2 linked regions of the Arabidopsis thaliana genome follow. The gene in region 1 interacts genetically with each later gene. Each region holds a gene or a part of one and is shown in the gene's direction. Other genes may lie near its edges.

Region 1 (7,116 bases):
TTGATCCCACACATCTTATCATACTAATTCTCTAAATCCCATAGAAATATGTCATCTTGATATTGTGATTAATGAGTTTATTCTCTAGATTAGACTCTCCTTCTGCGTAAATTCTTAGAGGGTAATCCTTTGCTTGTTCTTCAGAAATAACCTTAGCCATCTAATAAACCATAAATCAGCCATAACCATACATTAACTCAGCCACAACATAAAACAAATTTAGCCACAGATGCATTGATAAATCATAACTCAGTCAAACATACAATAACTCATCCACAACATAAAACAAACCTAGCCACATATGCATTGATAAATCATAAATCAGTCATAAAACATACAGTAACCAAGCCACAACACAAAACAAACTCAACCACATATGCATTAATAAATCATAAATCAGTCCTAAAGCATACAATAACTCAGCCATCAAATCGAATAGAAATAACAAATCAGCCACCATATGTAAATCGACGGCAAAAATCAGCCGTAATAAGCGTCGATAAAAACCATCAATATCATAACAGTGGTTTTAGAAAATGGTTTTAATCATGGGAATCACTTGCTATTGAACTTAGATGTCTGATTATTGTCGGAAAAATCGAAATAAAGATTTGACACATATCGAAACAAGTTGAGTTGAGACGAAATGTGACTCGATGACAACGACGTTAAAAGTTTCGGGCGGAAGAGACGAGAGAAAGAGAGAATAGCCACGAGAAATAGGTTTTCTTCGTTTTCGGATAAACACCTAGTAAAAGAGAAGACATTTTTTTTTCCCAAGATGAACAATGTCTGGGAGGAAAACCAAAATGTTCCTCTTAGTGACGTTAATAATGTGGCTTTATTTTTTTTTCTCTCTTAATAACGTGATTCATCATTATTTCGTTAATTATTTTTAATTAAAAAAGAATAAAAATGTTTTAACTAAAAAATACTAATCAAAAATGTTAATTGTAATTATATAAAAGCACTATATATATGAATAATTTTCAGAAAATGTAAATATTTCTATATTTAGATTGAGGAATAAACTTAAAAGCATCGCATGCTCATGTGTTGGTTTGTGATGAGTTTGGACTAAAGTTCACGATGAACCGTGGTTTTGAGGATCGTGATAGCTGCAATATGAGAAAAAGTAGGGTTAAGTTTTGTGATGACAGAATATGGCGAATTCTAGGTTTGAGGATTGTAATGATAAGAATATGCTTAACCAGATTTCCAAAAATTATTTACTTATAATGACAATAGTATGTTGGGAAAAAAAAATATGTTAAACTATGCTTTAAAAGTTTTTACTACTGGTATGAAAGTCGAGATTTGGTGCTACGAGTTTGATCTCTCTGACAAATTTTTTGCGTATACATATTATTTTATTTCTCATTTTTAAAATGGATCGATCTACAAATATTTGTGTTTAGCCAATAGTTTACCATATACAAAAAATTTACTAATGTTCGCGGAAGGAAATAAACTTAGCAAATATATTGTTGAATTCTTAATGATATATAACACTATTTTAAATATAAAAAATCGTCAAAATATAAATCTAGTGATTTATAATAATATAGCTGTTATATTGCCATTATAATTCAAAATCTGCATATCAAAAGAAAGAAATTTTGAAATATGTCACCATACTGAACCAATACTTTTCCTAAAAAATATAAAATTGAAGCTATTTCACAAACAAATCTGCATCTATTAAGAATAAACAAAAACAAATAATAACAAATCTTGACAAAAGAAAATAAAAATAGGAAAAAAACATACCTTCACAACCTGGGTCCCCCACCTCGGAGAAGTATGTCTTTATCTACACTTTTTGTCCTTTGTTTCCTCTCTCCCCCACCATTCTTTCTCCTCTCTCCGCTTCTTCTTCTTCCCCTGTTCCTCTTATAACCCCTCTCGTCTCATGTCTACCTCCTCCTCTTCTTCCGACAACGGAGCCGGTGGAAGCGGCGGCGTTTTCGAGGCCCCATCTCCATCCCGCCCTCGCCGCGGAGCCAACGATGTTTGGCCGGAGCCTTTTCTTGAATCTCTCGCCGTTCAAGTTGCCGTTAACGCTTCCACATCCGCCGGCCTCCTCGCCGCAGCTCCGGCTCTTGCCAACGTTTTTCGGGTCAGTTCTAACGTTCTTTGAATACCTTCTTTTAGTTTTGTAACGGTCGAGACACATCAATTATCTCGTGTCTCTCTATATATATATGTACTTCAGGTAGTAAAGTAATATTTTCGTTACACTATCTGAATTCGTTTATTAGCTTATATTTGAACTTGAAAATAGTGAGACATAGATCTTATGCAGACAAAACAAAGTCAAAGTAGTCGTGGGTCTATAATAACTTAAGTGGAGGGACACAATCTTGGTCTAGTCAAATGTACTGCTTGTTTCAAGTGTCTTGTACTTTAGTTGTTTCTAAGCTTAGATTTGATTCTGCCGTTCTAATTCTTTTTGGTATAACGAATTCTTACTCTTTAGATCATAATTAAGTGATGATGTTACTTCAATTCGATTGAATGTGATATTAGTTTGTAAGGTTGGGATTCTGAAGAGACAAAAAAAAAAAAAAACTGACCTTTGGAAAGGTAACCGCCCTTTCTGTGTTTCTATGATGGGTCCAAGTCCAACTTTTATGTCTAACAAGACGACATTAATTTGATGTCTCTTTCACATATCATATAGTTTGGGGACTTTGTTTTTCTTTTATGTATTTAGAAACTTTTTGTCTTCCATTTTTACCCAATAAGTTTATTTCTTTTTCATTGTTCTCTCGTCTACTTTTGATACCTTTTAATGTCTATTTTTGGATCCTCTAAGGAGACCATACAACCCCATCTCGTTTGTGTAATCTTTGTACAACATTTGGGCATAGTAACTCTAATATTAATATTATATTATGAATTGGATCCCTTAGGGCACAAAATCAAGGTTTTATTTTATTTTATTGGCTTTAAATCTTCCTTTCTTGGCATGTAGAAAGCCCTTTTTTAAGATCAAGAAATCCACTTTTTGACTCAAAAGTTCTTACAATAATAATCAAATTAAACACTTTCTTGTCTCCAAATATTGGTTGATAGACATTAGGCACAGTCTTTAGTCCAATGCCCAATAGATTTAATATTTTTTAGAATTATAATTATAACGGTATTTATCTGCTAATTGTTTTAAAATTATAATAATAGAAAGTGACCTCTCACGACAGACTCATAAAACTAGAAAATGTCGTTGCACATTTAACAACATCTAAAAAGAGAATGAAAAGAAACCTAAGTAAGGTCCTGTCTTTTTGCCTTGCCAATGTTAGTCCTATATTACCACATTAGGTTATTTTCTACATACATGAAAACTCTATTCATCAACAGATATATGATCCATGTATTATATCAGGCATTCATATTATTCTTTTTAATAATCCTATGTTATATATGAAAATAGCTGTTTTTTCTTTTGTTCATAAAAAAACAAATAATACATATATATATTATGCTGAAGATTTTTCTCATATATAGTAACGAGGAATAGTATATAAGTACATATGTACATTTTTTGCGTCCTGCTTTTGTTATTTTTTTCTCTGCCAATATTATGATCCACTGAGTAATGCATGCAGAGCTTCTGACAACTTCTCATTCTCTTATTTTATCTCACTTCTCTATGTATACATGATAATTCTAAATCATTATTAAATCCCATAATATTTTCTAATTAATTGAATTTTCAAATTTGCCCTAAAATTTTAAGAAACTGCAGTGTAGTTACAGCATAACACTTTTGTCAGAGAATTAAGGCTATAAGTCTAGAGTTTTCATTGTTGTTTTTTACTTTGAAATTGATCATGGAATTATCTTTTTTCCTGACTCGATTCATCTTTTCCATTGAAGTGGGTTTTTATCTTTTTTTTTTCTTTCCTTAATTTTTTTCAGTCAAAAGAGACGACATTATGGGCATACATATGCCGAAAAGCACATGGAACCCAATGTTAAGGGTCTCTTAGAGCACGTGCAGTGGTGTCTATAGATTATATACTATGTTCTTACATTTGATATATCACACATTAAAATACAAAAGTGATATTCTGAATCTGGTCATCTTAGAACTCAGGAATATTTGAACTACTTTCTTTCCCTTCTTATTTGAAGTATATCATATTGATGTGATTGGTAATTTGCATAATAATAAATAGGATTTGCCATTCCATCATATGTTATTTGTTGTACTAATCTATTTTATGTTACATTTCGTGCCCTAGTGCCTAGATTATTCTTTTTTTATAATGATTATCTGACTAATAGACATTAAACCTTTGGTTTGACAAGATATCTTTTCTTTTCGTATAGAATTCGAAATATTTGATTTTAGGTTGTACTATAGAGCTAGAGTACGAAGTCAAATACATTACTTTGCGTTTAATGAGGAATAAAGATGTACAATAAATAACAATATAAACGTAAATGTAGAGAATGTAGGTCCACGGATTGTTGGAGAGGGATGAGAGAGACAGAGAAACATCTACTATATATAAGTGTAATATTTGTGTATTTATGGGAAGCTCTACTTTTAACAAGACCAAAGGCTTAAAAGCTATCCTTTCTTGGAAATGAAAGAGAGAAGGGCACGCTTGTTGGCAAAGTCGGAATCTCATGTTCAGCTTAACTCATTTAAAGTCTTCTCATCTGTCCTAATAAATTAACATATCATCTGTTTTGTATTATTGTCACATTGATTTGTTTTTTGTTCTTTTGACATGGGACTAGGGCTTCCTCTCATTATTCCTTTTACACTAGGGCTTCTGTTGTTATATCTCTATCTATAGCTTCCAGAGATTGATTAGTCCCGTCAATTGAACATATGTCATAAAATAGATTTTTATAAAAATGAGTTGTGTGTTTCGATGAGTAAGACAAATATTACGCAGAGCTTGTGTCTGAGTCTGTCGTTGTCTTTCCATCTTCCTAGTCCCTATATATAGAGTCTTTCATGCTTCGTTGCAGGCCTACTTATCTTCTTTCTATGTCTTTTTTTACTCTCTCCCTTATTTATACATTTATTAATTAAGCTACTAATTATAATATTTGTTAAAACTTATAATAATTTTTCTTAATCGCAGGTTTGCACCACGTGGCACGCTGTCTCTCGCTCCGACCATCTATGGCAACTACTATCTCGCCAAGTTTGGGCAAGAACACATTTGATGCACGACACGTGGCGGGACGAGTTCATCTACCGTCATCGGACGGCTAGAAACTTCCGGACGCGTACTCACACCTACTTCACTCTCCAATTTGACCCGTCTGATGTGGACGAGCCTGATAGTCTCTCTTGCCGTTGTCTCACCCTCTCAGACCTCTACTTAGCCGCAGGGTTCGCCGACGGAACCGTCCGGCTTTTTCTTTTAAACAACCGACTCCACGTCAGGACCTTACGGCCACCTCTACGTGACCGCTTTGGTAGATTCTCACGAGCCGTCTCAGGCATTGTTATCTCCGACTCAAGGCTCACGTTCGCTACGATGGACGGAGACATCCACGTGGCGGAAATAGACGGTGTTGGTCACACACGCACGGCTTACGCAGGAGATATAGTTAACGACGGTGCGTTGGTAGATTTCACTGGCTGTGGACGTTGGTGGGTCGGTCTTTTCGCGGGTGTGCCAGGTCGTGCCTTTCACATATGGGACTGTAACAGCGAAGAGACAACATTCGTCGGTGGTACACTCACCGACCCTGAAGCTGTCATGGGATGGCACACGTTAACAGAGCTAACAACGTCCCTTGGCCGTCTCAGAATCTCCGGTAACGAGACGGCGGTAGCATGCACGAGATGGAGAATCATGGTGATCGATCTAAGAAACCAAGGAGTGATCATCGGAGAAGACGAAGAGCAACGTAGAGGACTAATAGTGACAGGCTTCGATGCCAACGACGAAGCGTACGTTAGATTGGACAGTAGAGGAAACGCTAGCGTGCGAAGGGTGAACACGCAACAAACGGTGTGTGAGTTCCGTGTTAGTGGAGCGGCGCAGAGAAGAGTAATGGGTTGTGTTAATAGACTGCACGCGCTAATGTGCGCAGGTGGTATAATGCGCGTGTGGGAGGTAGAGAGAGGAGAGTATCTGTACAGTATTAGGGAGAGAGTAGGAGAAGTTGACGCCATTGTTGCCGATGATAGACATGTGGCGGTTGCGTCAGCTTCATCAACGGCTCAGAGTATTATACATCTATGGGATTTCGGTGCACTGTAGCGTACCAGATTAATAATTTTTTTTTTTTAACTTGAAGAAAAAGAAACTATTTTTCTCTGAAAAAGCGAAACCCTAAACCTAGGTGTATATGTAGGGTTTCTGATTATAAATTAAATTGGGAAAGTGACGGAGGGAAGATGGTGACAGGAGGGTGAGATTTACAAGGGAGATTGATTCTTTCTACAGAGTTTGACCAAAAAAGTAAGTTACTGTTTTTGTCTAAAACCAAACAAAGTGGACTTTTTCTTGTTGTTCTTGTTTTTTTCCTTGTGTTTAGGGCTCTCTCAATTCTGACTTTGTACGAGATGTCTTTTTTTTTTCTTCTACTTGTAATTCTTCACTTTACTGGAGTTTATTATTTTGTATAATGGGTTTTAAATACATTTTGTGTAAAAAATATATTTTACAGGAGGTGTAGACAGAAACAAGATCAAAATCGAAAGAATGGTATAGAAATATGAATCATGAGATCTAGATGTGATTTGAGCATATCCCAATTTTAGGATATATTGGAGTGAATTGATAAGTAAAATGTTCAACAAGTTATTCATAAACAATAACATAAGAAAAGAGCATAATTGGACACACCCAATATACAAACAAAACGGCTAATCTCATTGAACAAACAAGATGATAAAGAGTGAAAATCAAAATTTTCCAAGTTTGAAATAGCGTTAGAAGCAAGTTCGAGAAGACCAAACACACGCCAATTCAAGAAAAAGTTGCACTCTACATAAAATTTGAGATGGTAACCATATATTGTGACTTTAAATCATAGTTCAAAACTTGGATTCTCACAAGAATGAGTCACGTTGTACCTACCGGTCCCTAAAAAACCATCACATAAGAACACAAACAGTTAGGATCTAAAACA
Region 2 (6,008 bases), on another chromosome or scaffold:
GTTTACGGGTCACATATCTATAAAAGACTCTACGACCAAAATGATCAAACGATTAAGCAAAAATATTACCAAAAGTACACTTTTATATCGATAGGAGCATAATGGTTCAAATAATAATGGGCCTATAGAAAAAATCGAGGCCCATTAACTTTCTCTTGGAGTATGTAAAAAATAAAATGAGTGTTGTGTGAACTTGTGAGATAAGGTAATTTGCAACTTCATTGAACGTTAAAAATAAGCAGAAGACATGAAAATTAATATAAGCTAACTAGTTGAATGGTTTGGTAGAGCTTTCGTAAAAAAAAGAACGAGGCTCAAATGATTTCAGTATTACAAACCAAAATGAGGTATGAAGTAATATACAAGTTGTATCATACATAAAGAACAACTTGTTCATGACAAACCCAAACTCAGCTATCTCAAGAATGTAATAGTAGTAATAGCTAAATCGTCGGATCCAATAGACGGCTAGTGGTTAAGTAATGTATGCGGGTTTATATAAAGGTCGTGGTTACTGGTTAGAAACATAATGAAGTAAAAATTTGTTACATATATGAGCTTATAAAGCCTATAAACGAGATACGATTTTTTTACATTCAAAATAATAACGGGCCTGTGAAAGCCCATAAAAGCTATCACTTTCCGTGGTCACCGTAACTTCCGCGAGTGTATAAAGAAGAAATTCACATACTTAATTACCAAATTATTCGTTTAATAATATTGTAAAGTGATGATGAACGATATCACATTGTGACATTGACACTCATACATGTAGTTTATAATTTATGAATTCATGTAATGTATATCGTACGTGTATGCTAAATTATAATATGTCAATAAGGTAAACATGATTGAACTTTTACTTTTTGCATAAATCAACAAATTTCCTTTCCATATCTTTTTTCACCTCTATACTTTACTTTCTAATTTAAAGTTATGATATAAAATTAATAAATTGTGTTTGCTTGTAATATTTTAACAAAACCACGCCTCACCAACTTTTTCCTAATCTTTTCTTCAACTTTTTTTCCTTTGTTGTCACCTTTTCGATATGGAATAAGTAATAACATCATTAATTCATTATATGTACTTCTCTTTTTCAATTTTTTTTCTTCTCATTTCTTAGCTTTCTGCTGAATTATTTGGCAATTGGTAAAATTACAAATCACGCTGAAAAGCCAAAAGTTAAATAATATTATTTTCATATCAATAAAATGTGAGTGAGTTATGGGAGCCTAGATTTTGGTTCAAATCAAATTCTAATTATCGTATTGGTTAAAAAATCTATCAACTAAAATTCGATAACTTGACAATTAATTGAAACAACAACGGTTTAAACAGTTAATTAGTATTTATACATTTTTTCTTGTATTTATGCGTTTTTGTTTGATGTTTAGAAAAACACACATATTAAAAAAATATATATATTAAATATTGATTATAAATTTATTATTTTTTGTGTTTTACAATTTTCTATTATTCTAAATCAATGATAATTAACTATTTTTTTAGAAAATTACAATTCACTAATATTATCCAATAAATATTGCATGAAAAATTTAAAAGATTAATCTTTTAGAAATAAATCATTTAGTAATAAAGAAAATATATATTTATAAATAATTTTACAATTTAGTGGAAAATTATAAAAAAAATATATTTAATGTTTTCTAGCAAAAATATATAAAATCTTATTAGAATTAGAACCCGACAATCCGGATAAATGCGTTACGACTTGTAGAAGATTTGGTTTAAGGCTTGAAGCAATAATTAAATATTAAATATCTAGATATTTGCATAAACGTTGCAAAATGGAAGAAATTGCCAAAACAAAATAATTATTTGACTTTTAAATTGCGTAATAGTATAATTATAATTCTCTTTCTATCTCTAAATCACAGCGTGGGGAACGTTTTTTCCTGGAAGAAGAAGAAGAAGAGCTCAACAAGCTCAACGACCAAAAAACTTCGGACACGAAGACTTTTTAATTCATTTCTCCTCTTTTGTTTTTTTCGTTCCAAAATATTCGATACTCTCGATCTCTTCTTCGTGATCCTCATTAAATAAAAATACGATTTTTATTCTTTTTTTGTGAGTGCACCAAATTTTTTGACTTTGGATTAGCGTAGAATTCAAGCACATTCTGGGTTTATTCGTGTATGAGTAGACATTGATTTTGTCAAAGTTGCATTCTTTTATATAAAAAAAGTTTAATTTCCTTTTTTCTTTTCTTTTCTCTTTTTTTTTTTTTTCCCCCATGTTATAGATTCTTCCCCAAATTTTGAAGAAAGGAGAGAACTAAAGAGTCCTTTTTGAGATTCTTTTGCTGCTTCCCTTGCTTGATTAGATCATTTTTGTGATTCTGGATTTTGTGGGGGTTTCGTGAAGCTTATTGGGATCTTATCTGATTCAGGATTTTCTCAAGGTAAAGGGACGATCTTTAGCTTCTTTGCAGCTGCAATTACTTGATAATTCCATGTCTGGATTCTAATTTCATGGTTTTTTGAAAAAAAAAACAAAAAACAAATCCGTTTGGAACTCGTTTGCTTAATGGTGACAGGTTTTAGGGTTGTTTAGTTATTGTTGTTAGATTCAAAGTGCTATTGTTCTGTGGCTTTTGATGTTTGGAAGTGAAACAAGTTTGTTTTGGGTTTTTGCTAATCAGAGATGATTCGACGATTTTGCAGGCTGCATTGCCGTATGAGCAGATAGTTTTATTTAGGCATTATGGGTTGGTTTAACAAGATCTTTAAAGGCTCTAACCAAAGGCTCCGGGTTGGGAATAATAAGCACAATCACAATGTTTATTACGATAATTATCCGACTGCTTCACATGATGATGAGCCTAGTGCGGCGGATACAGATGCTGATAATGATGAACCTCATCATACTCAGGAACCATCTACATCTGAGGTGAGTTTGGGGATCATGAAGTAGTGAAAAGAACCACATATATAGTTGACGGTTTATCATAGCTCTGGTCTGTACTGTTATTTCAACTTTTGTGGTTTTTCTTTACTAGGATAATACATCGAATGACCAGGAAAATGAAGACATAGACCGTGCAATTGCATTGTCGCTTTTAGAAGAGAATCAAGAACAGACAAGTATAAGCGGTGAGTTCATTTTCAGGATTGTTTTAGCCAAAACAGATATATGAAGACATGGTTTTGTTATCGGATTCGGTTTGCTACAATTCCTTTAAAAAAAGTAATGGACACAGGGAAATACTCGATGCCGGTGGATGAAGATGAGCAACTTGCTAGAGCCCTACAAGAAAGTATGGTAGTTGGGAATTCACCCCGTCACAAAAGTGGAAGTACATATGATAATGGGAATGCATATGGAGCTGGAGATTTATATGGGAATGGACATATGTATGGAGGAGGAAATGTATATGCAAATGGAGATATTTATTATCCAAGACCTATTACTTTTCAAATGGATTTCAGGTATTTAGATAGCCAATCATATTTAGCTGGCTTAATTTGGTCGATGTGTTAGTTTAGTGTCCAGCAGCCAAATAACTTGTCAACAACTTGTCTGCATAGGATTTGTGCTGGCTGTAATATGGAGATTGGCCATGGAAGATTTCTGAATTGCCTTAATTCACTATGGCATCCAGAATGTTTTCGATGTTATGGCTGCAGTCAGCCGATTTCTGAGTACGAGGTGAAACCAAGCTCTCTTCCATATCCTCTTCATTTGCTTTCTGGTTCTACTTAACCTTTAGATTTTCTTTTGTAATGTGTTTCCCTTTTTTCCTATAGTTTTCAACATCAGGGAACTACCCTTTTCACAAGGCTTGTTACAGGGAGAGATATCATCCTAAATGTGATGTCTGCAGCCACTTTGTACGTAAACCTCTTTCCTTTTCTATCATTTTAGCCCATAAATATATTCATGTGTTGTTGTTTTGTTCCGGATCTTACACTTATCGTCTGTTGCTTTGTTTTTCTCCCGAATGTAAATTCTTTGAACAGATACCAACAAATCATGCTGGTCTTATTGAATATAGGGCACATCCTTTTTGGGTTCAGAAGTATTGTCCTTCTCACGAACACGATGCTACCCCGAGATGTTGCAGTTGTGAAAGAATGGAGGTGGGTTTTCTTCTCCTCTAATATGTCCCCAAACATACATCATCTACTCAAAAGTGAAAACATTTTTTAGCCGGTAATTGACAACTTAGCTATACTTTGTAGCCACGGAATACGAGATATGTTGAACTTAACGATGGACGGAAACTTTGCCTTGAGTGTTTGGACTCGGCGGTCATGGACACCATGCAATGCCAACCTCTGTACTTGCAAATACAAAATTTCTATGAAGGACTCAACATGAAGGTAGAGCAGGAAGTTCCACTCCTCTTGGTTGAGAGACAAGCACTTAACGAAGCCAGAGAAGGTGAAAAGAATGTAAGTAAAGAAAAGACAATTATCCAGTACTAAGCTAATACTTGAAATTATTATCACATTCTGTTTCTAAAGTATTAAACCTTTTCATTTTGCTTCTTAGGGTCACTATCACATGCCAGAAACAAGAGGACTCTGCCTTTCAGAAGAACAAACTGTTAGTACTGTAAGAAAGCGATCAAAGCATGGCACAGGAAAATGGGCCGGGAATATTACAGAACCTTACAAGTTAACACGGCAATGTGAAGTTACCGCCATTCTCATCTTATTCGGGCTCCCTAGGTAAAAAAGACTCTTTTTGCTTCCATTGAATTGATCTTATGTCACAGTTCAAGCATTGATGGTTTTGCTGAATTTTGTTCAGGTTACTTACTGGTTCGATTCTAGCTCATGAGATGATGCATGCGTGGATGAGGCTCAAAGGTGAATTTCTTACTACTCCTCTTAACGTCTTATATTACTGCTTCTTTCTGTTGATCACATTGTTGAAACCTTGTTTCGTTTTGGTCTTAAAAAGGATTCCGAACACTGAGCCAAGATGTTGAAGAAGGTATATGTCAAGTGATGGCTCATAAATGGTTAGATGCTGAGTTAGCTGCTGGTTCAACAAATAGCAATGCTGCATCATCATCCTCCTCTTCTCAAGGACTGAAAAAGGGACCGAGATCTCAGTACGAGAGAAAGCTTGGTGAGTTTTTCAAGCACCAAATCGAGTCTGATGCTTCTCCGGTTTATGGAGACGGGTTCAGAGCTGGGAGGTTAGCTGTTCACAAGTACGGTTTGCGAAAAACACTTGAGCATATACAGATGACCGGTAGATTCCCGGTTTAAGAACCCAAATGGACAAGGTCTTCTACTTTATTTATAGGATCCTTGGTAGATTATTATTATATGCTCTAATTCTTTTGGTGGAAAATGTACTCTCGACCATATTCTTATGTGTAGTCTCATTCGATGATTCTTTGTATTCCTCTGTTAAAATCCATCAGAATCAGATTCAGTGTTTTCTTTGTTATTGCTCTCCAAATTCAATCGAACCAAACCGAGCCAAACCAAACCAACCGAACCAAATTCCAATTTAAAGGTTTCTTCTTTACACACTCTCACTCTTCGTCGCCGACGTAGTCGTCGTCAATCGTCGACTAAAACCTTAGACACATTCCAAAGTACGGAACTTTGAGGTCCCAAGTTTAATGGGTTCCAGCGTTAATCATCCGACAACAAAATTCTCCTGATGCTCCGACGGTCTCCGGCACGCGTTGTTGCCTATCAGTTGCTTCCGTTTCTCTATACTCGTAGCTTCTCCGAAGCCTCGAGAACCTTACGCCGCGAGCTTCGAGGAGGAAACGGGCGAATTCGACCCGAATTACTCGAGCGGGTCTCACGTTTGCTCGTACTTGGCAGGTACGAAGCTTTACATGATCTATCACTCGATTTCTCAGATGAACTTCTCAACTCCATCCTGCGTAGATTGAGGCTTAACCCAGAGGCATGTCTGGAGATTTTCAATTTGGCTTCAAAGCAACAAAAGTTCCGGCCTGATTACAAGGCTTACTGTAAAATGGTTCACATCTTGTCCAGGGCTAGAAATTA

What was found.
Region 2: of SAP (region 1) and DA1, a change in one rescues a mutant of the other (synthetic rescue), as found in Arabidopsis thaliana (one study listed by BioGRID).

What each region holds. Positions count from the first base shown.
Region 1 is NC_003076.8:13,935,583-13,942,698, reverse strand, and holds SAP (Transducin/WD40 repeat-like superfamily protein), read left to right. Parts: upstream 1-1,831; 5' UTR 1,832-1,912; coding exon 1,913-2,119; intron 2,120-5,108; coding exon 5,109-6,242; 3' UTR 6,243-6,613; downstream 6,614-7,116. UniProt on the Arabidopsis thaliana protein: Transcriptional regulator involved in the specification of floral identity. Acts as A class cadastral protein by repressing the C class floral homeotic gene AGAMOUS in the external flower organs in association with APETALA2 and other repressors.
Region 2 is NC_003070.9:6,660,600-6,666,607, forward strand, and holds DA1 (DA1), read left to right. Parts: upstream 1-1,817; 5' UTR 1,818-2,425; intron 2,426-2,687; 5' UTR 2,688-2,727; coding exon 2,728-2,913; intron 2,914-3,022; coding exon 3,023-3,116; intron 3,117-3,223; coding exon 3,224-3,452; intron 3,453-3,551; coding exon 3,552-3,672; intron 3,673-3,770; coding exon 3,771-3,854; intron 3,855-3,983; coding exon 3,984-4,103; intron 4,104-4,205; coding exon 4,206-4,418; intron 4,419-4,518; coding exon 4,519-4,697; intron 4,698-4,779; coding exon 4,780-4,838; intron 4,839-4,932; coding exon 4,933-5,246; 3' UTR 5,247-5,433; downstream 5,434-6,008. Other genes in the region: AT1G19290 (Pentatricopeptide repeat (PPR) superfamily protein), read left to right, coding at 5,650-6,008. UniProt on the Arabidopsis thaliana protein: Ubiquitin receptor that limits final seed and organ size by restricting the period of cell proliferation. May act maternally to control seed mass. Acts synergistically with DA2 to regulate seed size.